Linked DNA regions of Diceros bicornis minor. The protein of the gene in region 3 purifies or fractionates together with the protein of the main gene of each other region. This does not show direct contact. Links are inferred from orthologs where the notes say so. Each region holds a gene or a part of one and is shown on either strand. Other genes may lie near its edges. The genes, in order: PRDX1, HNRNPA0, KRAS and HSPD1.

Region 1 (7,922 bases), on a different chromosome or scaffold from region 3:
GAACTCCCGGGCCACAGCAGCAGAGCGTGCACTTAACCGCTACCCACCAGGCCGGCCCCAAGGAGTGGTGTGTTCTCAAGCCGATCTGTTTTCGAAAACAATACACCATCAATCTGATGACTATTGCTCTGAAAACTCTCGGAGGGCAACACTCTTGGAGGGCCAGCGTTGTGCCTTGCTTGTAACGATCCTTGTGGCCACAATTAAGAGCAAAATCCCCAGGGCTGGGGAAGGAGGGAGCTGGTTATAATGACTCAGCAGTTCGTCAGATGGCAAGGTCACCACTTGATTATTGCCCTTCAGACTTTTAAGAAGTCAGACTCACTAGAAAAAAAAAATTGAGGGCTGGCCCATGGCTTAGTGGTTAAGTGCGCGTGCTCCGCTACTGGTGGCCCGGGTTCGGATCCCGGGCGTGCACTGACGCACTGCTTCTCCGGCCATGCTGAGGCCGCGTCCCACATACAGCAACTAGAAGGATGTGCAACTATGACATACAACTATCTACTGGGGCTTTGGGGGGAAAAAAAAAAGGAGGAGGATTGGCAATAGATGTTAGCTCAGAGCCGGTGTTCCTCAGGAAAAAGAGGAGGATTAGCATGGATGTTAGCTCAGGGTTGATCTTCCTCACAAAAAAAAAAAGAAAGAAAGAAAAAAAAATTGAGGCAGTCCATCAGATCCTGCAGAAGATAGTGGGAGGGATGGGATACATAGGATGTGTCTATTGATGGTTAACCTTTGCTGGGCTGAGTTTGAAGGATCCTAAATTCTGATCACATAAGCCAAATTTGAATGTCATTATGAGGATATCTGGTGTGAAACGTTGGGCACTTGGTCCCTCAGGACACCATTTGTATTGGGGAGACAGTGGTGAGGAATTGGGGGGGGGAGGGTAAAAAAAGAGAAGAGCAGCGCCTGGGGCGACGGGGGAAGACCAAGGTGTGGGGAGAGAAAGGCAGGGCTACACCGGGACAAACCTGCTTCTTTCCAACTCCTGCCAAGGAAAACACAAATTCAAGACATCTCTCAGCCGAAACGGCAAGGGCTATTTCAAATCTCAAATCTCTAACTTAATACCTGTCTGACTTTGGACAAGCTAATTTACCTGCTGAGTCTGCCCAATCTGTAAAATGGAATGTGAATACCATTCCTAACTTCCTCACAGGAGGCTTCCAGTGTACTGGTAACGTCTATCTTTGTTTAGATGGTAGCTACATTGCAAAAAAAAACCTCACAGAGCGTTACGTTTAAGATTTGTGCATTTTTTTGTATGTATGCTATACTTCCATATAAAGGCTTACAAGAAATAAAATTGAAAAGAACATCCTCCTTCCAGGGTTGCTGTGAAGATTCAATAAAATCATGTTTATAGCCTGGTACAGTGCTTGGCACATAAAGCCGTGGCCAGGGTCCACCGACCAGATAGAGAGACGAGGAACTTTCTATGTCCTGGAGTCCGGAGACCCCAGGTCTTCCTTGTTATGGTCAGCCTTTGTGTTGTGGCTGCTCTCTAGGCCTCAGTTTGCCAGACCAAATAAGATTAGATAAAATCTGGGCAGCTGGCCAACCCGACTCTAATGGAGAGAATGGGGATGTGGGAGATCAAGATTTGGTCACCCTGAAATATATCTCTTTACCTTGATTGTTTTCTCTGAGGGACATTTGACCTCCCCCACTAACTGCCTAAAGAATTTGACATAGTAACTCCTTCCTGGAACAGATCTTCTATCTGATGGCTGTAATATAATGTAAAATAGATGTTACAATAGGAAAGTCACCAACAAGCCCATCTTATCAAAAATTCTGTCTCTCTGGCCACATTCTCTAGATGGCCCTGCAAGGAGTTGCCAGACAAACATTTACATTTATAAGGGAAATCTCCATTTGTAAAGGTATCTCTCTCTCTGTATTGGGAAGGGGGGGGATGGCCTCATTTCTAGAAACTTATCAATGTGGAACGTGAGGCCTTAAAACTGCATAATAACCTTACTCTTATTTACTTGCTTCAGTGGTAATCTCCTAGGAACTGACTCCCCCTACCCTCAACATCCTCCTTTGTTCTTAGCTAAAGATGGTATTTAACAAGAGAATTTCTGCTATTGTGTTGAGAAACTCAGTGTCCCCGGTTTCTCCCATGTATACATGTTATTAAACTTGGTATTATTTTCTCCTACTAACCTATCTTATTAATTATTTGGCCAGCCATAAGAACCTAAAGGGAAAGGGCAGAGGGGGATTCTCTCTCTTCCCCCACAGAGGGAAACCCCGGGCAGTCAGCGCTGCAGGACAAGACACCAGAAGAACGCCAAACGTGGCACTCAGGAAGCCTCCTCCCTGCGGCAGGGGAATGAGCTCCAACGGCCTAGAGCGGCGTGGCCACCACGCGCGGTGCACTGTGGGCCAGCAGAGGCTCAGCCTGGCCCCGCCCCCAGGGCCCCCTCCGTGGTCAGAGGCGCATGCTTCCTGTGCAGGCGCATTCTCCAAACTTGGGGGTTTCGTTTGTCCGTGCTGGTCCCAGTGGGACCACCAGCACCCAGGGGCGGGGATGGTACAGCCTCGCGAGTCTGGCGTGCTCACCACTTCCACCCCAACCCCCGAGCTCTTTTCCGGGGGTAAGAGGCGGGGTCCACCACGGCCAGTTCGGCTGAACGCCCGGCCTCCGTCCCTCCTCTGGGAGGAGCAGCCTCTTCACCGCCAGACTTAAGCCTGATCCCTGCCTCCACTTTCCGGTGACTTTCGTTGCAGCCCACCATTCCCGGAAGCTGAGGCCCATTGGATCCTTAGCAGGGCGCCGAGCTGAGCCGAGTTCACACTCTCCTGTTCACGCTCTGGGCTCGTGCCGAGGTGAGTTCCTCCTGCTGCTGCCCCATCTTTCTCTCCCTAGATAGAGCGGAGAGCGTAGCCTCTGGAGGCGGCCAGACTTGGTTTCGGGTTTGAACTTTTCTTCTTCGCTGTGTGATCTTGGATGAGTTCCCAGTTTCTCTGGACTTCAGTTTCCTCAGCAGTGAAACGAGTTCCTACATCAGAACTGTAGCGAGAATTAAGTGAGATAAAGTTTTTAAAGCTCCCGACACATTTAAGGTGCTCAGTAAGTTTTAGTTCCCATCTTTTTTGTTTGCTCAACGGCATAGTTTTTCCAGGAGCTCTGTCCTTCCTATGGAATTGGAGAGGTGGCTTCTCAGAAGTGGCGGGAGCGGGTAGAATTCTCTTACTTAGGCAGTTGCCTTGGGTTTGGCATGTTTATCTGTTGCCCCAGAGAATGTTTTTCTGTTGCCACTTTTTTAAGTGAGACGAATTTGAACCTTCATCGACTCTGAACCTTCACCGGTTGGGGCTGCTATTAATTAACTTCTCCCTTCAGCTTGTCCACACTCAGGGCTGTAGGACCTCCCTTAGAAGAAGGTTGGTGGCTCTGCTCCGGCATGTTACTTTTCCCAAGGTCTAAGTTTTGTCATCTGAAATACAGGAGCAATCCTAGCATAATCCTGTCTGGAGCCACTGGTATTTTTTGTGGCTAAAGTGCTTTGATATTTTGCAGAGATGATTCTTTCCAGGTTACCCAAGAAGTAAAGGAGGCTGGCGATGGAGGCAGTGACTTCCTCAAATACCCCTCCAGCTGGCCAAAGTCCAACTGTCAAGATCACCCCCATTTGCCTCTCTTTGTGGGTGTTTAGTGTATGTGTATGTATGTATGGAGCATGCACTCTGGGAGTGAGGAGTTCAGACAGATGATGGGCCCTGACCTCAAGGAGTACCTAGGTTTGTGGGAGAAACATAACACACAAATACAGTGATGTATATGGGAGGAGTCAGAAATTTAAAGTGCCAGCTGAAGGATTAGCAGCAGTCAGCCGAGCAAAAGGTGAGACTTGGGGAAGGAAAGTGTGCAGAGGCCTGGAGTCAAATGAGTGGTGGCTTGTTCTGCAAAGTCTGGAACATGGAGTCTGGAGTCTGGAAATGAGGAGGTGGAGAAATGAGGAAGGTGGGGAGCCAGATTATGAAGAGTATTACTAAAGAGTCTGGACTTTATCCTCAAGGTAGGAGAGAACTGCTGGAAGAGTTTGAGCCTGAGAGTCACATGGTTGCATTTGGTGAATGGATTGTGGGAAGAGGGGAGACACTGGAAGCAGAGCGATCCCTGGTTCAGGTCAGGGTGGTCAGAGCTAACATAGTGCCAGTGGAGGGAAGTATGGATGGACTGGAGAAAGATTTAGGAAGTATATATTTTTAAATTATTTTCACATACATTAAGAAGTACACAAAGTGTTATTTCAGTCTTAGGTTTTACATTACAGTTTAGAGCAAACACTGTCTTTTTTTATATTTACAAGTATTAACAGGATTTTTAACTCACCCAAACAGACCAAATCTGAGCCACCATTGCCCATGTTGGTTTCTTAGAATTACAGGAGAAGATGTACTCCCCTCCCCATCACCTGTCAAGACTAGAATCTGATAATACTCAGAAAGGCCAGAAATGAACTGAAATACTTTATTTAGATGGCTTTTTTTAAGACCCCATGGATTATGCTGTGAACATGTTGTCTGGTTTGCTTTAACACATTGTCCAGGGTCTTGAGTCTGTGGTGAGACAGAGTATACAGAAAGAAAGCGGGGATCAGGCACTGTGTAAAGTGCTTTAGATATAGTATCTCTTAAGAATGCAGGGGCTGAGATTCAAACCCAGGTCTATGCAACCCTGTAGTTTGAACTGTTTCCTCTGCACTCTGCTGCTGGATTTGACAAGTACAGTTTTGGACACATTGAGTCTCAGATGCCTATAGGACATACACTGGAGATGTCCAAAGGGAGCCGAATAGACCGAACTGGTGGGAAGAATCAGTGCCTAAGGTGGTAACTGAAGACATGAGCTCAACTAGGGAGTGAGAAGAGGATTGGGGACAGAACCCTGAGGGACACCGACATTGATGGGAGGCAGAGGAAAGGCCCATGCAGCCAGGGGACACTCATGTAAATACTGCTTCCACTTTTTCCTGTGTTTTCGAGTTCCCTGTGTCCAGGCAGGAACTATAGAGCCCTCCTCTGAGAAGAGAAGACTGAGCCCCAGCGAGAAGGAAGGCAGGCACTGAGTTGGAATCATAAAACCTGAGTCCTGATACTACCCCCTACCCCACCACATACACTCAGTTTCTCTGTTTTATATCTAGAATCTCTCCCAAGATAACATGCGGGTTTCTGAGTGCTGCCAGAGGTCCAGCTCTGCAGCTCCTGACAGACTCAGAGCCTGTTAATGCAGGGCTAGGCTGGAAAGCCGTTGAGTCAGGCAGAAGATGAGGAAGTCAAGAGCTGTCATAGGATGACTTCCTGTCCTCAAGACAAACATCTGTCTTGTGCTGCACCCTCTCCGTTCCCTCCTTTGGAACTCTTGTTCTTTGCAGATCTTTCTTAGGTGTTCCTACCTCTTGATCCCTGCCCTGCCCTCCAAGCCTCATTTTGGTTTTCAGTTTCACCAGCAAAAGAAAAGGAGAAGCAGACATCAGGTTTCTTCTTCCTTTTCCCCTCAGGCTGGTGTTTGTTCAAGCTCTCAGCCCAGGTGTAATTTCAGAGCCCTCCCATGTGTGCTGGGAAATCGGGGAGAGACCAATAGGTCACTTGTTTGGGGATCAAGTCCAGGAAACTAGTCACAGACCCTGGTGGCAGCTGGCAGGCTAGTTCCTCCTGTGAAGTCCAGACATGCTTGCCTGACCCCTAAGAAGTTTGATAACAAAGAGTATTGCCCTCAGCCATCTGTGGTTTGCTGCCCAGATTGAACATTTTTGTTTCTGTTTTAACAGAAAAGAGCATGTTTACCATAACCAGGTTATACTAGACTCTAAAATTCTTCCTGAGTCAAAAGTATGAGGAAAGACAATTTTAGTGTATTGGTTGTATTCATCACTTGTCTTATCACCTGCTCTACCGTAATAATCTTGATGTCCTTTCAGAACTTGGAAACAAAGGTTATATTTATAAAGGCACTGTTGACAATGAAGTTAATCCAGGGAGAGTGATATTTATAGTACTGATGAGTTCACGGGAAAAGGTTGTTTCTACATTATTGGCTCTTGGTGTGGTGAGTGTTCTTTCTGCTTTTTGGTTGGATGACTCCTGTTTCTTAAGACTTGACTTAACTCAGACTTGACTTGACTCAGATATCACCTCCAAGAAGCCATCCTAGCCAGATTCCCCTTTTCTTGCAGCACTTGTGCAGATTTTGGTCATCTCTCTCATACATTGTGCTGGACATCCTCTGTCCTCCGCCCACCAGAACATGAACTCCAGGGGAGCCGAGACTCTACTTGAATATGTGTGTCTCTTGGGTCAGGCACAAGGCCTGGAACATTCATCATTTGCTGACTGAATGAGTATTCTTGCGCCATTTGGAGACTTCTGATTTTCCTAGCTCTCCAAAGGTGGTTGTTCCAATCACTCACATGCTTTGCTCAGTTGGAAATTTTCTTCTATCTGTAATTTACTGCTTTCTGCTGCACTGATGTCCTGTGTCTAGTTCCCCTTCCCCTTGACTCTTGGGAGAGTCCAGTTGTTAAAAGCCAATGTCAATATTCCATGGTCCTTGCGCTACAGAAATCACTTGGTTTTCTGTAGCACATTTTACATGTGTTTACTGTGAGGCATTGCACATGTATTTTATAGGTCTGTGTTTACCTGCCTTTTTCTTGCCTTTTTCCATTAGCTCCTCCTTGGGTCCTTGGCTCTGCTACTTCTTATTTGTTTTTCTTTTTTGATGAGGAAATCAGCCCTGAGCTAACATCTGATGCCAGTCCTCCTCTTTTTTTGCTGAGGAATATTGGCCCTGGACTAGCATCCGTGCCCATCTGCCTCTATTTTATATGGAATGCTGCATGACAAGCCGTGCGTGTGCACACCTGGGATCCTAACCTGCGAACCCCGGGCTGCCGAAATGGAGTGCACACACTTAACTGCTGCGCCACCGGGCCGGCCCCATTTTTTTGTGTGTGAGGAAGATTAGCCCTGAGCTAACATCCGATGCCAATCCTCCTCTTTTTGCTGAGGAAGACTCGCCCTGGGCTAACATCCCTGCCCATTTTCTTCTACTTTATGTGGGATGCCGCCACAGCATGGCTTGACAAGTGGTGCCTCGGTGCGGGCCCGGGATCTGAACCCGCGAACCCCGGGCCGCCAAAGCGGACTGCACGCACTTAACTGCCACGCCACCAGGCTGGCCCCAAGCTCTGCCACTTCTTAGATGTTGATTGGGGTGAGTAACTTCACCTGTCTGAGCCTGTTTTTTATCTAAAAAATGCTGTACTTTCCTTATAAGAGCCCACTCGGGCCTGTCAGCATGGCCGATCTCTGTGAGAGGGACTCACAGAATCTTTGTAGTTCTGACAACCTCCTGGGAATGTTCATTTCATCCTCAGAGGAGTGACCTTTTCCTGAGCCTCTTCTGTCATCTGGTCTCGCTTTGTCTCATAATGACCTTTGCCTGTCTTACACTGGCTTGAGACATTATGTAATCAAGGCTGGGTCCTTCTGGAGAGACACTCTGCCTTTGTTTTTAGGTGTTGGAGCTCTTTAATACAGACCTTTAGCCTGGTAGAAGGAAGGGCAGCCAGGCTGGTGGTCCAGTTAGGGTTTGTCCAGGAGCTACTGGCTTTGGTACGTTCTGGGCACCGTGTCTCAGTTGCCTCTGCTCATAGGCACATGCACACAACAGCATGTTTGTTCTCCTGTCACCTCTGTGTCCCTTTCCCGCCCATGTTTTACAGGAGTCTTGACCGGTGGGTAGCTGAGGCCCAGCCAGCAGCACTGACCTCCGCACCATTCTCTCCCTGTCTGTGTTTCAGGGGGCAATGGCAGCTTCCTGTGTTCTCCTGCACACTGGGCAGAAGATGCCCCTGATTGGACTGGGCACCTGGAAGAGTGAGCCTGGGCAGGTGAGG
Region 2 (6,782 bases), on a different chromosome or scaffold from region 3:
CACAAACTATTTCTTTAGAACTACACAGTACATACTTTGAAGTAAATTCTCATAGAAAGTAGTGACCAACTATGTCAAGATGATAAGCAAATCGCTTAGTACAAGAGATGGATGCACAGAAACTTTAAAGATTTTAAAAAGCCACATCCACCACTTCAAAAGTTTTGCCTGTAAGGGATAAAATTCAACAAGTCACTAGCAGGGAAACAAACAAAAAAAAAAAAACCACAGGACCTTTTAAACCTTTTAAAAGTTTCTCTTAAGTACACATCAAGAATTGAGAATTAACACGAAAAATTTTCAACTAATATCCCTTAAACGGTACGGAATGGATCCTAGAAAAAAAATGTTAGACATGTACGGTCAAACACAATGATTTATTAAAAATAAAACGTAAAAATGATTTTTGTACATATACTTCCAAATTTCAGGCATGGGATCCAAGTAGATTTCATAGAAAACGCTGTAGCCAGGTATCAAGTCCTTACAACAAAGTAAACTACCCCCCCACCCCAACCCCCGCCCAGGTTTTGCTACAGAATCAGCAAGTTCACTCCCTCCCCCCAAAAAAACACAAATTAAAACAAGACGTTTTGCTAGTATAAAAACGACCAAGGTCCAAGTAATAATAAAAAAATAGAGTCCATCAATGACTGTAACACAAAAATGTGTGTGTGGGGCCGAGTCCATCTTCAGAGGGAGAGACAAGAGGTGGCAGGCAAACAGGGCAACACCCCCAAGAGTAAGCAGCCTCAAAAGAGGCTCCCCCAAGGGCAAATGGGGAAGGCGGTGGGAGGGAAAGGGACTTAGGAATTGACCCTAGTCGGGCTGTCGAAAAGAGCTACCCCTATAGCCGCTCCCAGACATTTTTAAATTTTCTTTAGAAGGAGCTGCCTCCATAGCCACCCCCACCGCCATAGCCGCCTCTGTAAGGTCCACTGTTACTGCGACCGCCCCAGCTGCTGCCGCCGCCGCCGCCGCCGCCGCCACTCTTCATGGGCCCGTAGGAGGACTGGTGCTGGCTGTAGCTGCCGAAGCCGCCGAAGCCGTTACCGTAATCGCTTCCACCGTAGGACGACCCGCCGCCGCCGCCTCCGTAGGCATTGTAGCCGCCGCCGCCGCCGCCGCCGTAACCACCGTAGCTGTTGTAGCCGCCGCCGCCCTTCGACAGGCCGTTCTGGTCTCGACCACCGCCGCGCCCCCGGCCGCCTCGGCCGCCCCGGGAGGACCGGGAGCCGCCTCCGCCCCCTCCGGAGTGGATATCCTCCTTGGGCACGGCCTTCTTCACCTCCACGCGATGACCCTGGATCGGGTGGAACTTGACCACCGCGGCCTTGTCTGCCGCGTCGTGATTCTGAAAATACACGAAGCCGAAGCCGCGCTTCTTGCCGGACTGCTTGTCGGCAATGATCTCGGCTTTCTCCACGGTGCCGAACTGCGAGAAGTGCTCGATCAGGTCGCCCTCGGCCACGTCTCCCTTAAGGCCCCCGACAAAGAGCTTCTTAACCTTGGCGTGGGCACCGGGCCGCGCCGAATCCTCCCGGGACACCGCCCGCTTCAGCTCCACCGTGTTGCCGTCCACGGCGTGGGGCGAGGCGGCCATGGCGGCGTCGGCCTCCTCCACATTGGAGTAGGTCACGAAGCCGAAGCAACGGGAGCGCTTGGTCTGGGGGTTCACCACCACCACGCAGTCCGTCAGAGTCCCGAAGGCCTCAAAGTGGCCGCGCAGGCCCGACTCACTCGTCTGCACGTTGAGGCCGCCGATGAACAGCTTACACAACTGGGAATTCTCCATCTCCAAGGCCCGGGCCTTGCCCCCGCCCTGCGAGCTCCGAGGTTTCGCCGTCGCCGCTATCGTTGCCTGAGGCCTCTTCACAACTTGGGCCCAGCCGTTGCTGGAGCCGCCACCGCCGCTCACCGACGGGGAAGGGAAGAAGGGAAGGGGAGGGAAGGAGGAAAGAAGGAAGGGGGAGGGAAGGGGAGAGGTGCCGGCTAGAGGGCGAGCCGAGAAGACTGGAACACAACCAAGGCCGCCACTACCGCCACCGCCACCTCCGCTCCCCTATCTGGACACCACACAAAGAGGCCGCTGAACGCGCGCGCACCCTCCCCGAGGCGTGCGTCACCGCCGACGTACGGCAGCCCAGGGCTGTCAGCCAATCCCCGCCTCGCTCTCCTTAGTCCCGCCTACCGCGCCGCAGCGCCGCTCTCGGTCACGGACTCCCCGCCCTCCGCAGTCTATTCAAGCCCTCGGCCTCCGCGGCTCCGGCCGCCGGTTGTAGCGCCCCGCTTTCACTCCCGGGCTCCCCAGGGTGCCCTGACGGGGGACTCTCCTTGCCCTCCGCACACCTCCGCGGTTCATTTCCTGCCAGCCTCGCGGCTGTTCCCAGTGATTGTCCCCCTCCCCATGCCATACCCCATGGCCCAACTCCGCAGTGGCGTTCGCGCCAGCCCCTTGAGAGACATATCAGTTCAGCCAATCACCGCGATCCGCTCACACCCACTTCCGTTTTCGGCAGCGGCTGGACGGGCGCGCTCCCCGGTGCGCGCCGGCCCCGGCGTCCCCTGTGTGCAGAGCTTGCATGCCACCCCCACGCCCCCTCCCGCGCGCGGCTTGGTGCGGGGCTGGGGGCGGGGGAGGGAAGAGCGGAGGCGCGCTGGGGGCCGTTCCCAACGGATGCGGCCTGGGGCGTCACGCGCGGGCTTTTTGAAAACTTGGCTGTTGGGGATGGGGGCCTGGATTTACCCGCCGCGTTTGGACCCGGCCGCTACACCTGGCGTCCTCGCCCCTCCCGTCCGCACAAAGATGGAGGGTAGAGCCGTGGTCGGGGAAGGCGGTTAGTAACCGTTTACGGTGGGCCCCACGCGCAGTTAAACTAAAACATTGGCACGTGGCCCTGCGCAAAAGCGAGCCCCAGGCACTATGAAGGACAACCGTGTGCCAAAACCGACTCAGCCTTTCCCACCGAGGTGTGGCGCGAGAGCCCGCCGCTCTTTGGCCGTCCGCGAAGCCCTCCCGCGACGCCCCTCTCAGCGCCCTTCGCGCACTCCGACAGCAGACATTTTCATTTTACCTCAGTAAACACACCACTTTATATGTTTAATTTACGTTATCTATGCGTTGCTTCCTTCCCGACTAAAACGTTTGCCTTTTAAAGGCCTTTTATATCAGACTGGGAGCCGAGGAAGTTAAACACATGAACATTATATACAAATATCATCCACCCTGATAACTGCCTTACAGACCCTCACTCAGGCGGGACTGCATGAGAATTATAACGGCTTCCGTTTATTGCACCTTCGTGCGCCAAGCAAGATACATGGAGGGGCACATAATATGAGACATTACGTGACCCCCAAAACCATGTGGTAAATATTGAAGAAGAGGAATCCCTCGTATCCTGAAGTAGTCAGGAATGACTTGTGAAAGAGGTGGAAGTTGCACTGAACCTCAGAGTCAAAGGCTAAATAAGATTTCTATAGGGCGTTTGAGCAAAATCAGGAGGAAACAAGCTACAGAAGTTTCAAGGGGCAGTGAGCGGACCAGTTTGACGGGAGCAGGAGGTTTTTGATAGAAAATATTAAGAGGTAAGATAGGTTAAGGGTCTTTGATATGGAATATCTTGAATTTTAGATTGAGTTTGAATATTATTCCGAAGGTATACAGATAGGCTACAGGGTTTGGGGACAAACTAGAGTCTGGCTCTACCACTTAGTAACCCTGTGACCATCGAGTTGTGTGACTTTGAGCAAGTCACTTAACCTTTTTTAAAACTTAGTTTTATTATCTGAAAGTCAGAACAATAAAACACCTTCCAAGTGTGGTAAAAATTAAATGAGATTCTGCATGTAAACGCAGAGCACTGTGCTGGCCATAGTAAGTGCTCCATTTATCCAACAAATACTATACCAGGTGCTGGGAATATGGCAGTAAACAATAGACAAAAATCTCTGCCCTCATGGAGCTTATGTTCTAGTGGGGAGAAGCAGACAATAAATGAGAATGGTATATAGCATGTCAGATAGTGATAAGTGCCATTGAAAAATTAAAAGAGAAGGTCAATAGGATGCTCTTACCCTGTTACAAACAAGTCAGATATGTCAGCTTTTGCTAACTGATTGATGACAAAGAATGAGGAAAATAAAAGCACTCCAATGTTTGAAATCTGGGAGTCTAAAATTGCAGCAGGGTAGAATTAGAAAATCTAAGAAAAGAAACTATTTTGGAGGGAGTAGGGGGAGATGATGAACATGGTTGTTAAAGATGATACTGGGATATTCACGGGGCCCTGTTTTCTGGGATGCCCAAGACTATAGCTCGGATAAGAGATTAGACCTTAAGAAATCTACTTTAGAGTCATCCAAAAAATGTTAAAGCAGTAAAAGATGAATTTCTGAAGAGAATAAGACCATAACTTATTTTCCCATCTAAACTAAATTTTAAAGAAATAGTTTTCTCCTACGTTGTTTTAAAATAATCACACCACCTAATTGGGGATCCATTAATTTCTATTGACAAGAAAGCTTCATAGAGGCATATGTCCAGTATAAGCCATGCATATAGAAGAGGGGTAGGGATGATGGGAGACAACACAAGCATGTTTGAGAGACATTTAGGAAGCCAGGATAAATGCAAGATAATTGGAATGTTAGATTCTTTTCGGAGATTAGATTAGTAAAGGTAGGGATAGTGAATAAGAGTGTTATATAAACACTTAAATGATGCAATTTCCTACCCCTCAGACTATTCAGGGAGAAAAACTTTTTTTTTTCCTATTCTACTTTTCGTTGCCTGAGTTTGTTTCTTGGCTTTACCTTACTTACAGGTGTCTCAGCCTTCCAAAACAAAGAAATGTAAAAATGTAACTGAAATTTAGGCAACTTTTGGTTTCCATCCCTCCTACAAGCTTGATTACAAAAACCTAATTGAATGTGGTGGTTACACAACTCATAGAACTGCATATTAAAAAGGGTTTATTTTACCGTACCTAAATTATACTTAGAAAAAGAAAAAGACAGAAAGAGAACAGGAGAAAGGGGGAAAAAACGAACTGAAGAAGAAAAGGAAAACTATCAGCAGCAACTCTGGGTTTTTTTTTGGTCAATTTTCTATTACACCCAAAAGTGTCTTTTTGCAGTTAGGATTATGTTATGGACTGAATTGTGTCTCCCCTCACCCGCCCCCCACCCAAATTCATATGTTGAAGCCCTAGCCCCCAGTACTTCTGAATGTAACTGTAACCAAAAATAAGGTTTTTAAAGAGGTGATTAACTTAAAATGAGGCCATTAGGGTGGGGCCTTAATCCAATATGACTAGTGTCCTTATAAAAAGTGGAAGAGACGCCAAGGGCACATATGCGCAGAAGGATGACCACGTGAGGAGGCAGCAAGTGGGTGGCCGTCTGCAAGCCAAGGAAAGAGGGTCTCAGGAGAATCCAACCCTGCCAGCACCTGGAGCTTGGACTTCCAGCCTCCAGAACTTCGAGAAAATAAATTTCTGTTGTTTAACCCACCCATTCTGTGGTATTTTGTTATGGCAGCCCTAGCAAACTAATACATATTCCATTTTTATGTACTCAAGGTATCTTCCAAAAAGGCACTCTCTGCCAGCTGTGATGAAGTACAATCTTCCTAGTGGACTCTTAAAAACTCACATCAAAAGTTAAAATTTGAGGGGCCGGCCCGGTGGCGCAAACGGTTAAGTGCGCGGGCTCCGCTGCGGCGGCCCGGGGTTCGCTGGTTCGGATCCGGGCGCGCACCGACGCACTGCTTGGTAAGCCATGCTGTGGCGGCGTCCCATATAAAGTGGAGGAAGATGGGCACAGATGTTAGCCCAGGGCCATCTTCCTCAGCAAAAAAAAAGAGGAGGATTGGCGGATGTTAGCTCAGGGCTGATCTCCTCACAAAAAAAAAAAAAAAAAAAAAAAAAAAGTTAAAATTTGACCCATCCTTTTGAACCAGAAATGATGCTTCTGGAAATTTATCCTAAGGAAATAATTAAGGATCTGTGTAAGGATTTAGCTACAAGGATGTTCACTTCAATACTGTTTATACTAGAAAAAAATTGGAAATTACCTAATTGCTCCCAATTAACCAATTACATAAAAAAGGAACTAAATATTCTCTCTAAGAATATTATGAAGCAATTAAATTGATATTGTAAAGGAACAATAATGACGTGTTTGCGTATGAATCTTATGCCATCATGATGATGTGTGAAAGGTCACATTGCTTATTTTACCAAATCAAATTAATTCTGAACTTAATTTGAACCCCATACTTGAACAGAATGGCAAAAATGTAGATTGGGGCTCCTCTCACCCTTTTTCACTCAGAGGCCTTTGCCTCTCTCCCCTTCCCCTCTTTGGCTATCTAAGAGAAATGCCCTCAATAAAATGCTTTTTGTAAAAAAAAAAAAAAAAATAGGCACATGGAGGCTTAGTTTTACAAGTTGCTCCTGAGGCAGCAGAATACACAGACCTATTTAATCTGTGAAGATATTACTTGTATCTTGTTCTACTGCCTGTGTATTCCCTTGCCTCAGGTGCAAAATCCAGGCTTTGAGAAGGGATTTATATTTGTTTCCTTCACTTGAGAGGGGACATCAAAGGAGGAGGGCTTGATGTGAAAAAAGGATAGCTTCCCAAGTCTAGGAGAAGTGACCAGACAAAAGGTACAAACTTCTAGTTATAAGATGAATAAGTCCTGGGGATATAATGTACAGCATGATGATAATAGTTAACAATACTGTATTGTATATTTGAAAGTTGCCAAGAGAGTA
Region 3 (7,032 bases):
TGGTCTTTAAGTCAGGCATAAAGAAGGCCAGTCACCAATCACGTGGCCCGTCAGGAAAATTGTGTCCCATAAAGACCCTTCTTATTGGATAGTGAATGACAGATGCATTCAGATCCTCTCCCTTGGGATGTTTTAAATGTAAGTCACAGAGAGTGTCATGGGAAGCAGAGATAGTGGTAGAAGCTGAGACTGTATGAGAAAGAATCAGAGAGCTACTGATTCAGGAGAATGGCAAAATTACTAGAATGTGGGCAGTACATGCTCGTTAACGAGAGGATGAGTGAGGCACCAGAGCCTGTTACTGGATCACAAGAACTGCTGTTGATTCCTGGAATGACTAGTAGTCCTGGCTGATGATACAGTTTGCTAAAGTTTCCTTATTTCCTTAAAATAAACCCTCAGCATTTGCAGTGCTCTGAACATGTCCTGGCATTTTACATCTTGTAAGATCCCTACTAACACAAGGGTATTCCTGTTATTTTGGCTTTGATTACATCTTCAGAAGAGGGTATCTCCTGAAGGGTCAATATGATCTTCACAAAGCAGGATTAAAAGGATGTGAGCACGTGCACATGTGTATGTGGCTGCCTTCCCAGAAAAGTTAACAGTAGAGGGTAGAAACTTCAGTTACATTGTAGAGCAAGCCTGGAATTACCAAGTTTAAGCTTTTTGTTATTCCCTCTATCTTTTCCCATCACGATCACAGAATGAGCCTGTGTGCTTGTCCTTGGGGAGAGCAAAGAAAGGGAGAGCCAGGGAAACTATTCAATGCAGCCTCTAGGTTTGAAGAAGAGGAACCCAAAAGATAGAAGAAAGCACAGCTGTCAAGAAAAGAGAGGAATCTGAGTATCACATCTAGATCAGATCACTTCTCTGTATACAGACTGCTAACCACCAGTCTAGGATCACCTGATTTGTTAAAAATGAAGATTTCTGGTTTGCTTTAGACCAACTGAATGGAATATAAGGGTGAGGGGCCTAGGAACTTGCATTTTTGTAAGTATGCCAGGTGATTCATGAAGCGCTTTCCTTTGAGATCACTGCTCTAAGCCATGTGTCAAGGAAACACAGAGAGTGTTGGGGAGGAGGCTGCTGGCTTCTGAGAAAGCGCTCAGGACTGAATGGCAGAAAAGCTCCACATAGCAAATATATACATTGCTGTCGGAGTGACAAGGAAGCAGAGAGAACTGTGTGAGGGGAAGCTGGAGGGTAAGGTGTACGGAACAGATAGGGGGATGAAGACTTGCTTTGGGAATTGTGAGCCCAGATGATAACAGAGACCATGTGGATGGATTAGGTTTCTCCTAACGCCAGAATTTTTATAATCACCATGAAAGTGCTATATATTATAATAGCACTTCTCTATATTATAGTCCTTGTAAGATTTATGGAGCCCCAACTACAGGGAGAATATTGTATCAGCAGCTGTCAGAGAAAACAAGAGCTTATCATGTACTTGCAGAAGTTGGACAAAATAAATCTGTGATATATATTTGAGTGACTACAAAACAACATACAAATAAGTGCAAATTCATTCATTTAAGAAAAACCCACTGTGTCCATTATGTGTGGACACTTTTCTAGAGTCCGTAGGGTACAGTTTATCAGAAGGTGACCTGGGGGTGTTTAAAGGCAGATTTTATAAGAAGGTGAAAACAGAGATCACAGAGAATTTAAGGCACTCCGTCTAAGTAAGGATGTGGAGTCACAGAGTTCAGAAGGAGGGTACACAACTTCATTTATTCAACATTCCCCAAATATTTAGGATTTGGGGGAAAGAGAGAGAGATGCAATATCAAAGATGATCTTTTGGGAAGAACTCATTAGAAGAAGACACCTTAACAAAGATTTATAAGTGTTGGAGGAAGCGTTATGGATATATAGTGGACATGTGTTCCAGATAGAGGGGCAGCAAGTGCAAATGCCCCGAGGAAGGAAGAAGCCTGCCTGGCATTTTCAAGGAACAGCCAGGAACCGGTGTGTATGTACAGAAGTGAGGAAGGGAGACGCGTAGGATGAGTTCAGAGAGGTAAGGGGACTTTGCTTTGATGTTAAGCAGGATGGGAGCATGAGTGAGTTTGGAGCAGAGGAGTGAACATGGTCTGACCTAAAAGATACTTCATTTTAGCGGTGTGAACTTGAGCCCAATTTTCTTTTCTTTTTTTTTTTTTTGTGATGAAGATCAGCCCTGAGCTAACTTCCATGCTAATCCTCCTCTTTTTGCTCAGGAAGACTGGCTCTGAGCTAACATCTCTTGCCAATCCTCCTCCTTTGTTTTTTCCCCCATATCCCAGTAGATAGTTGTATGTCATAGTTGCACATCCTTCTTCTAGTTGCTGTATGTGGGACCCGGCCACAACAGCACAGCCAGAGAAGTGGTGTGGCGGTGCACGCCGGGGATCCGTACCAGGGCCGCCAGTAGCGGAGCGTGCGCACTTAACCGCTAAGCCATAGGGCTGCTGGAGCTCAATTTTCAACCTCTCTGATTTTGTTTCCTCATCTATAAAATAAGGTTGCTGTGATGATTAAATAAGATGTATGCGCGAAACATTTAGCAACTACTTGACAAAGAGTAGGCATATTCTTTTCCCATCCCTGTCTTCTACTTCCTGTCCTGTCTGTTCCACCTAGTACCAGGAGCAAGGCGAGGGGGACCCAATAAGCCTTCCAGACTACAGCCCACATAGGGGGTGCGAAAAAAAGGCTGACAGTTGGTGTAAGGCTTAAGTTAACAGACACAGTCGTTGGGATTTAAAATAATTGTTTAACCCATGTTTTATGACATGGACTAGAGGGACACAATTGGAAGTAGAGATTCAGATGGGTGTTTCCATTAGGTATAGGCGTTGGCCTGCCAGGCCTCAATCTTTAAAACTCAATTTACCTTTCTAGGTAGTTTATCAGCGCAGACTCTGGGTATGCCAGCAGTTGTAACTGTTTCATTGTTTAATGTGTTAACTCCCCAAATGTGAACTGATTAATCTCAGTCTTCTAATTAATGTGTCAATGATTCCCCTCAGGTCTAAACTATCAAAGGCACTTCTACTTAAAAATAGTTTGTCTTCTGCTTGTGCCGTCAGGGGCAATAGGTACATTTGAGGTCGCTCTTTAGAGTGACCTGTGATGGCTTCAAAATAGCCATAAAAACAACAACAAATAAGACGAGTGATGAAAGGGTTAGTCACGTCGGTTTGGGCCTGGGGCTAGGTTCCCAACCCCAGTGTTGAGGCTGATAATCACCAAGCCTTGATGAGAAAGCCCCGGGGTGGGGAACTGTCTGCCGGTCTCTCCCAGTCACCGAAGTCGCCTCCCACATTTCATGACTGCGTGTTTATTTACTGGCAGCAAATGACAGTAAATGAATGTGCACAAGTGTAGGCCGACCCCGAGGGGTGGCGGGATTTTCGCAGCTTCCGCGTGCAGACCCGAGAGGGGTGCGGCGGGGTCGCCTCTGGCGTCGCTCAGGTGTCCCTGCGGTGTGCGCGCGACCGATCGCGCGCCGGCCCGGGTCCGAATCTGCGGCTGCGGGTTCGGCTCTGCGGCGGGAGCCTGGGGGCGGGCCGCCGCGTGGGGTCGGCAGCCCCTCCTCCCGCGCCGCCGAGGCACCGCCCAGGCCCCCTGCTCCGCCGGCCGGGCTCCCCGTCGTCCGCCGCCCCAGCCACCCCCTCCCTCCGCCGGCCCGGCCCCCGCTCCTCCTCCGCCGGCCCGGCCCGCCCCCCTCCCCTGGCCCGGCCCGGCCCCTCCTCCTCCCCAGCGGCGCTCGCCGGCTCTCTCTCTTCCCTCTTCCCACACCGCCCTCAGCCGCTCCCTCCCCGATCGCCCGTCTGGAGAGGAATCGAGCACCGAGCGCATCAATAGCTCTGCCCTCTGCGGCCGCCCGGCCCCGAACCCATCGGTGTGCTCGGAGCTCGATTTCCCTAGGCGGCGGCCGCGGCGGCGGAGGCAGAGCGGTGGCGGCGGCGGCGGCGGTGGCGGCGGCGGCGGTGGCGGCTGCTCGGCCAGTACTCCCGGCCCCCGCCATTTCAGACTGGGAGCGAGCGCGGCGCAGGCACTGAAGGCGGCGGCGGGGGCCAGAGGCTCGGCGGCTCCCAGGTGCGGGAGAGAGGTACGGAGCGGACCACCCCTCCTGGGCCCCTGCCCCGGTCCCGACCCTCCCCGCCGGCGCCGGGCGGGGCCGGCGGCGAGTGAATGAATTAGGGTTCCCTGGAGGGGCGGGGAGGGGGCGCGGGCGCGGGCGCGGAGCCCGGGCGGACGGGCAGACAGGCTCGGGGGGTCTGCAGGGGGAGGCGCGGGGCCGCGGCGACGCGGGGAATGAGGAATGGGCGTTGCGGGGCTGAGGAGGGTGAGGCTAGAGGCGGCCGCCGCTTGTGCTGCTTCCTGGACGGGGAACCCCTTCCTTCCTCCTCCCCGAGAGCCGCGGCTGGAGGCGGCCGGGGAGCAACTCGCGGGCCGGGCGGGCTGCCCCTCGGGGCGGTCGGGTGCGGTGGAGGTTACTCCCGCTTGCGCTCCAGTCTCCCCTCCCCCTCGTCGTCCTCCCCTCTCCCTCCCTCCGCTCCCGCACCTCTTCCTCCCTTCCCAGCGCTCGGCTGCCTCGGTCACTGCCTTCTCGGCTGCATCTAGCATCTCTAGGACGAAGGTATAAACTTCTCCCTCGAGCGCAGGCCGGACGGATAGTGGTCCTCACTGTGTAGCGGGGTATAGGGGTAAGAGGGGAGGTCAGGTTTTGGCAGAGCATGGGAAAGTGCTTAGAGACCACTGTTTGAGGTTATTGTGTTTGGAAAAAATGCATCTGCAGCCGAGTTCCTGACTGCTCCCCTCCCCCATGTATGGGCTGTGACATTGCTGTGGCCACAAAGGAGGAGGTGGAGGTAGAGATGGTGGTGGAAGAACAGGTGGCCAACACCCTACAACGTAAAGCCTGTGACTTAGTGAAAAGGAAAAAGTTAATCGTAGAAGGTCTCTTTTGCTTTGTCAAGTTAAAACACACGTAGAAAACCCTCAGAGCAGAAGCAGGGCTTTTTCCTTGCTAGGTGAGTGTAGACGGCAATAACTAAAATCGTATTTGAAGTTTAATTTGCCTGTTCTTGTCCTTTCCCCCATCTCTTCTATATTCCCCTCATCCTTACGCATCTGACCCCCATCCCAAGAGTTATTACAGTACTCCTAAACAGCACTCACACAATTTTTTTAAACTGATTTAGGAGAGGAGTTAATTGTAGCAATTTGCCGGCCAACTGCCTGAAATACTCTGAGGCGTGTGCATACCATAGCTGAAGCCCTGCGCTAGCCTTTTTATATCTTGATATCCATCAAAATAAGAGGCTAAGAACAGAAAGGTATTTTCTGATTTTTACACAACGTACCTGTTACATTTGTAATGGAAAAAAAGTCATTTGCAAAGAAATTACAAAGGGGAAAAGTCTGTGTTGTAATCATCATCTCAGAAGCAGCTAAATGAGTGATGTCACTCTTAGGTGACTAAGGTCTAAAATGCTGACTCGAACATGTAATAGACTATAGACATCAAATACGGTTGATATCAATACTGTTTACTTTGAGACTGCAGCCAGGCACAGGCATACTTGGTTTTAAGAGATGGTAGATGAGGTGATAATTCAGTTTCATGACAAATAAAAGTGAATTTTTTTTTTGCTTAACAAAATGTTAGGTTCTGGTCCCAGTTCCACCCCTTGCTTTTGTATCTTTGGGTGAGGGGACTCTTTCTGGCCTATGATCTTCAGTAAGACTCCTTGGGAAGCCGGTTCTCTCTAGCGGATTTAAATATTACTTGGTGTTTAAAATCCAATTCAAGGATTTTTTTCTGAAACAACCACTGCATAAACAAGTAGACCAAGAAGGTGTCTGTCTTTCAGAATTCACACATGTATGCACAACTAAGCTCTAATCCAGCATCTGTCCACAGTATCACCTAGGCTAGCAAACTTTTTGGTCATCAGGACCCCTTTACACTCTTAAAATTTATTGAAGATCCCAATATGGGGTATGCCAGTATTTACCATAATAGAAATTAAAACTGAGAATTTAAGAAATTTATTAATTCATTTAAAAATAGAAATAATAGGCCTATTACTTAGTAACATAAATAGCATTTTTTTAATGCAAAAACAACTATTTTTCAAAACAATAAAACAGTGAGAAGAGTGCCATTGTTTCACACTTTTGCAAATCTCTTTAATTATATGGCTTAATAGAAAACATCTGGATTCTCATATCAGCTTCTGCATTCAATCTATTGTGATCACACGTCTGGAAAACTCTATACTTGTGACAGCATAAGAGTGGAAAGGGTAAAACATCTTAATAGTATTATGAAATTCTTGGACCTCCAAAACGTCTTAGGAGCCCCATTGGGTTCTTGGACCACATTTTGAGAACTACTGTTCTATGCTATCCAAATTATTTTGCGGGGTGAGGTGGGCAGGGAGCTAGAGGATACATTTTGGTGTGATTCTCCTCGTCTATCCCATTTGCTATGGCCTATATTTAGAATAAAAAGTGAGAGCAAATGGGATAAGATAGATGTTAGTAGTGGCTCCTAGGGTGGCCCCAGATGAGCAGCGAGTAAGGCTGGGTGGTGCAGAATAGGCCAGGGAGCTGTAATGTAACGGTCTGTGATACAACAGTTGTGTAGCCTGTCTGCTCTTTGTGAGAGGGCTCAGGAATAGGGTGAGGCGGTGGTTAGTATGTTATCATTTGGAAAACGATATTATCTTTTTTTTTTTTTTGGTGCCTATTTGGATAATTCTTGGTCTTCAGTAAATAGGATGCTGCATGCATATAGTGTTTATATACAATATCTGCACATTCATTAATTTGGAACTACTTATTCTATAATAAATGAGTGTGCATTTATTGCCATTCTTTCTGCATTTCACTTCTTATTTGTAATACTGTCATGTAGTTGTTGAGGGAAAGAAGATAAAATTAAATTTATTCATTTTATTTCAAAAAGTTTGAAACAACTGATTAAAAAATATTTTCTGTCTTGTGCTGTTAATCTTACAAGTTATC
Region 4 (7,265 bases), on a different chromosome or scaffold from region 3:
GCACCTTTGCTAATCTTCTCGAAGCCTTCCTTGGCAATAGAGCGTGCCAGAACAGTAGCAGTAGTGGTGCCATCCCCAGCCTCTTCATTTGTGTTATTGGCCACATCTTGAACAAGTTTAGCGCCAATATTTTTATATTTATCTTTTAAGTCAATGGACTTTGCAACGGTCACACCATCTTTGGTTACTTTGGGACTTCCCCAACTCTGTTCAATAATCACTGTTCTTCCCTATAATTGCAGAGGAAAAAAAATGGAACAGACTCGCACTCTAAGTACTACTTAACTTAAAACAGAACGAGCAGTTTTTATAGCCACATGCCATATAACGACGTTTCGGTCAACAACGGACTGCATATATGACACTGGTCCCATAAGATTAGTTTCACACAGCCTGGGTGTGTAGTAGGCTATACTACCTAAGTTTGTGTTAAGAACTCTATGATGTTCGCAGAATGACAAAATCGCCCAACAATTTCTCATAACATATCCCAGTTGTTAAATGGCACGTGACTGTAATGGGGCAATCACTCAAAAGCCTCAATGCAAGTTGTCATCTTATCAAATCAGCAGCATGAATCTCAAGGGCAAATTCATCAATGTTCTTACAAGCAAAATTACCTCTCTGTTGCCAATTGCATAACTTTGAATAAGGTATTATGGGGGATAAAAATCCTAGAGACTAAAAGGTGTCCTCTTAGAAAACAACAAGAACATGAGATAAACCAATACCAATCTGGTAGATTATAATTAAATTCCAGAATATTCTTCACATCATTTATACTTAAATTTTGTCCTGTGCCTGCCATCTTTGAAAGTATTGTGAAAACTTACTTTTAAAGTCTAAAGTTTAGTTACTAAATTACTAACAGCGGGCCGGCCCCGTGGCTTAGCGGTTAAGTGCGTGTGCTCCACTGCTGGCGGCCCGGGTTGGGATCCTGGGCGCGCACCGATGCACCGCTTCTCCGGCCATGCTGAGGCCGTGTCCCACATACAGCAACTAGAAGAATGTGCAGCTATGACATACAACTATCTACTGGGGTTTTGGGGGGAAAAAAATAAAGGAAAAAAAAAAAAGATAAACTATTAACAGCAAGGTAAGTATAGTGCACTCTTCCAGGATCGTTCAACATTAAATCTCAAACATGGTGCAAACAGTATTGGCAGCTTTTGGATTTGAACCACAGCTGCTACCTGTGAGGCATGCAAATGCTGTAATCTATACAGTTTGGATTACTTTGATATTTGAACGGTCTTCAACTGTGCACCACCTTCAAAAGCCTCCTCAAATTATCACCCCTCGCTCACCAATCTCTTAACGTTAAATAAGACTTAGAATTTTAAATGTGCTTTAGAACAGAACGGACAAGAGAAAAACACTAGGTAAAACTAGCACCTAAAAGCACATACTTGAGGTATTATGGGACGTACTTATAGTCTTCCTTCTATGCTTGGTATTAACTACTGGGAAAGAATCCAAAATTTAACTCAAGCAGGCAAGCAAGATTAATTCTACACTGAGTTTAAGAATCCACCTTGAGCTATGAGTTAGTTACCACTCGATTACATCACACATTGTAAAAAAGAAAGTTTCGAAAATTTGGCAGGAGCAGTTTAAGACCATTATATCTAAGCAAAAAAAGACAAAAAAATTAACCAATAATTTAGAACTCACATATGTAAACTGGTTTTTCTCAAAAACGGATACTAAAATACTGTTCAACAGTTCAGTGTGACTTCTCATCAGTAAAATATTATTCCTTAATTAACAATATTATAAAGTATAACAAAATAACAACAGTTACCTTTGGCCCCATAGTAACGGCTACAGCATCGGCTAAAAGGTCTACACCCTGAAGCATTAAGGCTCGGGCATCTGCACCAAATTTTACATCTTTGGCATAAGCCCGAGTGAGATGAGGAGCCAGTGATTTGGACACTGGCCTAATCTGGCGAAGGACTGCAGGTAATCGAAGCATTTCTGGGTGGGAAAAAAAGCAGACCATCAGTACAATAGTGGCACTCCCAGTGGTGCGTTACAGCACAAAAATGACACCTGTGCAACAGAATAAAAAGTGTTAGACGTGAGCTGGTCTGACCTCTGCCAGCCACTACACCCGGGCCACGGAAAGCGCCACAGCTGCAGAACACCAGGTACCAGGACGAGCCTGAAGAGGCCGCCTCCACGCCTGACCTAGAGCACTAGCACAAAGCAGGCCCCTCTTCGTCCCCATGGCCACCTACCCCTGCCGCTGAAAAGGAGTTAATCTTTCACTGCTAAAACGGCCTTCAGAGCAAAGCCACTCCACACGCGCCCCTAAAAAAACCAAGCCTGCAGCAGACGGGCAGGTTATAAACCCGAGGGACCAGGAGAGTACAAATATGCCTGACGGCGTAAAATTCCGCTTAGTGAAATGTGCCTTCATGTATCCTCTCGGGGCTACTGTATCAGAGCAGCCCGCAAGGCCGCGATGCAGGGGGCTGCGGCCTGGCCCACTCGGCGCGACCCCAAGTGTCTTTCCATCAGGACGCCCCGAGCAAGGTCAGGGTCGAAGTGCCGTACCCCAGCGGTCCGCGGGGCCAAACGCGGTTCCCACGCGGGTGAGACCACCCTCCCCGGGGTCCTGCAGTCCAGGAGTGGGTTGCATGGGAGGGCCCACGAGAGCACTCCCCCGATTCCACACGCACTCCCGGGCAAGCCCTCCCTCCTGCGCCCTGCCCGGGCGAGGGCTCCACGCGGCACGTGATGGGCTCGCGCATGGACCCGCCAGGCCTGGCCAAGGGGCCCGGGCCTGCGGCGCCGGAGGAGGCCCTGGCTCTCCCCCGCCGCCCACTTCAGGCAGGACTGCAGCGGGGGGAGGCCGGCTCGGGGGTCCGAGGCCCTGGGCGCGGCGGCGCGGAGCGGCCGCGTACCTGCGGGGCGGCGGCGCGGCGTGCGGAAGGCGAGGCAGGCCGTCGGCGGCGAGTGAGGGACAGAGTGCAGGGCGCACACGGCAATGAGCCCGTGTCCCCTCCCTCCGCCACTCCCCCGCCCCGCCGCGCCGCGCGCGCAGGCGGCTCCCGCCCTCGCCGGCGGCAGGCCCGGCAATCTGCATGCGCCGCGGGCCAGCCCGCCCCTCCCTACCAGCGCCGGGCCAGGCCCGCGGACTCGGCCCTCTCCGGCCGGCGTATGCTGGTTCCCGGGCTGCGCTGGGTTCCAGAACTTTCTGGGGGCGCCGCGCTCCCTGCGGGTTAAGGGTTAAACCGCGTCACATCCGGGAGGAGGGCGGAGGGCTAGTACTTTCACCTCGGCGGGGGCCTAGAAAAGCCTAGAAAGGGCTCCTCTTTCCTTCCGCCTCCCGGCGTCAGGGGCCTGCGCAGGGCCCTCGCGGCGAATCGCGGCGCGCGCTGCTGCGGCCGCCCCCTCGCGCGGGGAGGGGCGGGGGCCGGGGGCGAGCGCGCCTGCGCGCCGGGTGCCTTGTCCCAAGTTCACGTGTCTCGAGGGTCGGACTACGGGTCTCTGCTTGCGACGGCGGCGCTAGAGCGGAGTGTGGGTTGCGGCGGCCGGAGTCATGGTGAGGCCGCCGTGAGCGGGGGGGTGGCGGTCCCGGGTCGGCCTGAGGCGCACCGGGAGTCCGGACGGTTCTCTTGGGCCTAGCCGGAGGGGTGGGGGTCACCCAGTGAGCGGCGCCCGCCGGGACCCTGGAGAGGCGAGGCCCCTCCGCCCCTTCCCCGCGCCGAGGGCTCTTTGCGCGCGCGCGTGCTGCAGGCCTGTGGGCCGGGAACCCCGAACCGCGCGGCGGCCGGCCTGCGGCTGTTGCAGGGCGCTGGGGGGTGTGTAATATGTCGGAGAAAGCATGGCCCCGGGCGTAGGGATTGACTGCAGTGTTTGCTGAAAATTCCCAGAAAAACCTGAGGAAGGATAGTATTTGACCTTGGAATAAACTAAGGTTGCCCTTAAAGGTGGTCTGGCTGCTGACCAGAGGAGCAGCAAGGACCCCTAACACACATGGGGAATGGGAAATTAAACTCGGGCTACAGAGCAGAACCTTCAAGTGGGTTTCCTGGGTAAATAATCTGAGTTTGGGCATGATCTTTGAAAGCCACACGTGGCCTGTGATACAGAAGGCTTACAGTGGTGTTGCCTGTTTAGAATATAATTACATGTTGTTTTTGTGTTATCCGACATTTCTTTCTCTACAGGCAGGACAGGCATTTAGAAAGTTTCTTCCCCTCTTTGACCGAGTATTGGTTGAAAGGAGTGCAGCCGAAACTGTAACCAAAGGAGGCATTATGCTTCCAGAAAAATCTCAAGGAAAAGTATTGCAAGCAACAGTAGTGGCTGTTGGATCGGGCTCTAAAGGAAAGGTAAATGGGGGCTAAAATGGAACTATTATGTGGAGGGAAAAAGTAATTATTGGTTATTATTAAAAATAGGCTTTTACGTAGCTTGTGTTATCTTCAAGGTCATTTTCTAATTAATTGGTTACATTTCAGACTTATAAAAGTGTCAACCAGAATACATAGTAAATGCTCTTAGGGTCAAATATGTTAATTGCATTGTCCATGCCTCTAAGAAAGTTCTAGCAAGGAATCCTGGAGTTAGGAATAGGAAGGCTTGGAAGAGTGGACACTCTGCTTCAGTCTCCTCCCCAAGTCTATACTTGGGAGCAAAGGAAATTGAATGGAAAAAAAAATGTATGTTCCGAATTCAGAAAACTTCTGTTAAGTGTTTGTGTATTGAAGGAAGTTATACAGACTGTTATGTATACGGTTTTTAAAACTTGTTTATTTCACTTAGTCGATGGGTTATGTTAATATTTAACAATTTAAAAGCTAGTTTAAGTTAGTTTTCCCAGTATAACTCCTTGAACTTTTACAGTGAAATCAGGTTTTAGTTTAAGCCACTGTGTGTGCCTCATTTCAAAGTGTGACTCTACAATGATAAGTTTTGAGTGAAGAACTACAATTGTATAGATTATATCACTTGGCCACCAAGTTCTTTTTTAACATTTGATTTGAGTGAGCATATTTGATTAATGAAAGTTAGGTGTAAATATTTGGTAAATTAGATGTCTCTACTAATAAACATTCTTATTTTTTTAAGGGTGGAGAGATTCAACCAGTTAGTGTGAAAGTGGGAGATAAAGTTCTTCTCCCAGAGTATGGAGGCACCAAAGTAGTTCTAGACGACAAGGTGTGTAAACGTAATGGATTTTTTTTTTTTAGAAGTTACATATTTGGTATTAGTTTTCTTAACTAATGGTTTCTTTATTTGCAGGATTATTTCTTATTTAGAGATGGTGACATTCTTGGAAAGTATGTAGACTGAAATGAATCACTATTGAAATGGCATCACGTGAAGCTGCCCATTCCATTGAAGTACTGAAATCTTTCATCTTGTAAATAATTTCCATGTCTCTCTTTTATAATAAACTAATGATATCCAAACTAATGACATCCAGTGTCTCTAAAATTTAGTTTCACTGTACTGATATAAACATTTCCAAATAAAAATATATAAATGAATGGTTAATCTTTTAGTGATTTAAGATGGTTTTAGAGTTCTCTATTTTATGCTTTTTTTCTTTTTTCAAGTAATTTCTGCAGAGAATTCTGGGTAACAAGGTTTCCAATTTTCACTTTGAATTTAGCTTTATTACATAGATATTTGATGCTGGTACAAAGCCATCAATTTACACTTACATATTTTAAGAAAGTAAAGTCAAGTAGCAACATTCTAACTTATAACAAACATATTGAAGTTCTTCATTTATGGAATCTAGTGTCTTATATGTCTTGTTTCTTATGCTTTATATTTACAAAAACTTAATATTACTACATAATTTACTTGGCAAAAAATCCAAGGCAAGGTATACTAGATAACATTGGCTGAGTGCCTTCTGTATGCCAGGGTAGGCAGTGTGTGCTAGTAATTATAGCTAACCCTTCAGAAGCATTTTCCTGTACTGACTACTGCTGTAGGTACTTTGCATGTATCAATTGGTTTAATCTTTCATCAGCCCTATGAGCTAGATACTGTCATTCTCATCTTGCTGATGAAGGTGTGGCGCAAAGAGGGTAAGTAATAACCAAGGTCTCACAGTAGGAAGTAGCAAAGCAGGATTTGGATATGGGCCATCCACCATGGATACTGCTGTTGAAAACTTAATCCTTTATGGCCTCTGCTAGTTTGTCAGAATACTAAGCACTTGATACACATTATTTCAAATGTGATGATAAAGGAACCTTTGTGGTATTGGGGGGGGTTGGTACGTAAGGTGTCTGGCAATTAGGTATCTAGTATACAGTTCACTGGATTTAATAGGACACTGAGTAACAGAACTGGGTAAATAGCTTGATTTAGCTATAGCAGCTCAGGAGAGTTAAGATTTGAACCCAGACAATCCTACACCAGAGTTAATTACTAACCCCTAAACTCAACTACATCAGCTACCAGCTAGTTCTGTCTTGGCAGTCACATTTTTTTTCTAGTTTTAGTTTCTTATAATTAGTCTGTGATCATGTCTTTTAAAAGTTGTGGAATTGAAATCTAAATGAAGTTGTAAATGGCATGGAATAATGGTCTCATCTTTTGATCATGTCCCCATGGGTAAAGTGGTAGGTATGTGCACTTAACATTTATGTGTATGTGAGTCCCATTTGGTATACTAAAGCTTGATTTTTGTCATATTTAGATATAAGAATTATGATGAAAAGCTCTGTTTACACAACCAAGTGGGTCATCAGTTTCCTCCTGTGTCCCAGCACAGCTAGATTTGCACGTCATAACCTTGTAAGCACAGATTTCCATCTGTTTCACCAATGAGGAAACTGACTCAGAAGAGATGAAGCCACTGGTTCAAGGCCATGTGGCTGGTAAATTGCAGAGTTAGGAATCTAGTCCAAAAGCCATGGCTTTCTCATTATTCCCTGATTCTGTTGTGAAGACCCAAGCAAATGAGTTGAGATTCATAACCTACTAAAATCAGAAGGATGGGAGAATTTTTTTTTGTACCACAGAAGTAGTTGTGTGATGCTTATCTGGCAGAATTGCTAAAGAAATAATTTTAGATTTCGTGAGATTATATTCGGAATTAATAGGGAAAAGTTTTGAGGTGAGAGGTTGGGGTCAAAAATAAGGGCATTGGGTGTGCAACCACGTTTCAGAACAGTATGTTGTCATTTACCTTTTGTTCAACAAAAATAATGGAGCAAAGTAAAATAGGTAAAATTCTATTTTTCATGAAAATACAAATTTTCATGGTACTTTATTTTTTTTTCCTG

What was found.
Region 1: the proteins of KRAS (region 3) and PRDX1 purify together in Homo sapiens (affinity purification with mass spectrometry; 3 studies listed by BioGRID and IntAct, with this or other methods). This does not show direct contact. The link is inferred for Diceros bicornis minor from reciprocal best matches to the Homo sapiens genes KRAS and PRDX1.
Region 2: the proteins of KRAS (region 3) and HNRNPA0 purify together in Homo sapiens (affinity purification with mass spectrometry; 3 studies listed by BioGRID and IntAct, with this or other methods). This does not show direct contact. The link is inferred for Diceros bicornis minor from reciprocal best matches to the Homo sapiens genes KRAS and HNRNPA0.
Region 4: the proteins of KRAS (region 3) and HSPD1 purify together in Homo sapiens (affinity purification with mass spectrometry; 3 studies listed by BioGRID and IntAct, with this or other methods). This does not show direct contact. The link is inferred for Diceros bicornis minor from reciprocal best matches to the Homo sapiens genes KRAS and HSPD1.

Annotation. Positions count from the first base shown.
Region 1 is NC_080752.1:8,459,713-8,467,634, forward strand, and holds the start of PRDX1 (peroxiredoxin-1), read right to left. Parts: upstream 3,014-7,922; 5' UTR 3,009-3,013; intron 2,842-3,008; exon of another isoform or gene 2,541-2,841; intron 1-2,540. Other genes in the region: AKR1A1 (aldo-keto reductase family 1 member A1), read left to right, coding at 7,833-7,916. UniProt on the Homo sapiens protein: Thiol-specific peroxidase that catalyzes the reduction of hydrogen peroxide and organic hydroperoxides to water and alcohols, respectively.
Region 2 is NC_080740.1:56,395,329-56,402,110, forward strand, and holds HNRNPA0 (heterogeneous nuclear ribonucleoprotein A0), read right to left. Parts: upstream 1,885-6,782; 5' UTR 1,796-1,884; coding exon 881-1,795; 3' UTR 523-880; downstream 1-522. UniProt on the Homo sapiens protein: mRNA-binding component of ribonucleosomes. Specifically binds AU-rich element (ARE)-containing mRNAs. Involved in post-transcriptional regulation of cytokines mRNAs.
Region 3 is NC_080756.1:37,462,765-37,469,796, forward strand, and holds the start of KRAS (GTPase KRas), read left to right. Parts: upstream 1-4,032; 5' UTR 4,033-4,092; exon of another isoform or gene 4,093-4,105; intron 4,106-4,520; exon of another isoform or gene 4,521-4,636; intron 4,637-7,032. UniProt on the Homo sapiens protein: Ras proteins bind GDP/GTP and possess intrinsic GTPase activity. Plays an important role in the regulation of cell proliferation.
Region 4 is NC_080749.1:75,337,888-75,345,152, forward strand, and holds the start of HSPD1 (60 kDa heat shock protein, mitochondrial), read right to left. Parts: upstream 3,005-7,265; 5' UTR 2,913-3,004; intron 1,981-2,912; 5' UTR 1,979-1,980; coding exon 1,805-1,978; intron 231-1,804; coding exon 1-230. Other genes in the region: MOB-like protein phocein, read left to right, coding at 3,551-3,553, 4,182-4,346. UniProt on the Homo sapiens protein: Chaperonin implicated in mitochondrial protein import and macromolecular assembly. Together with Hsp10, facilitates the correct folding of imported proteins.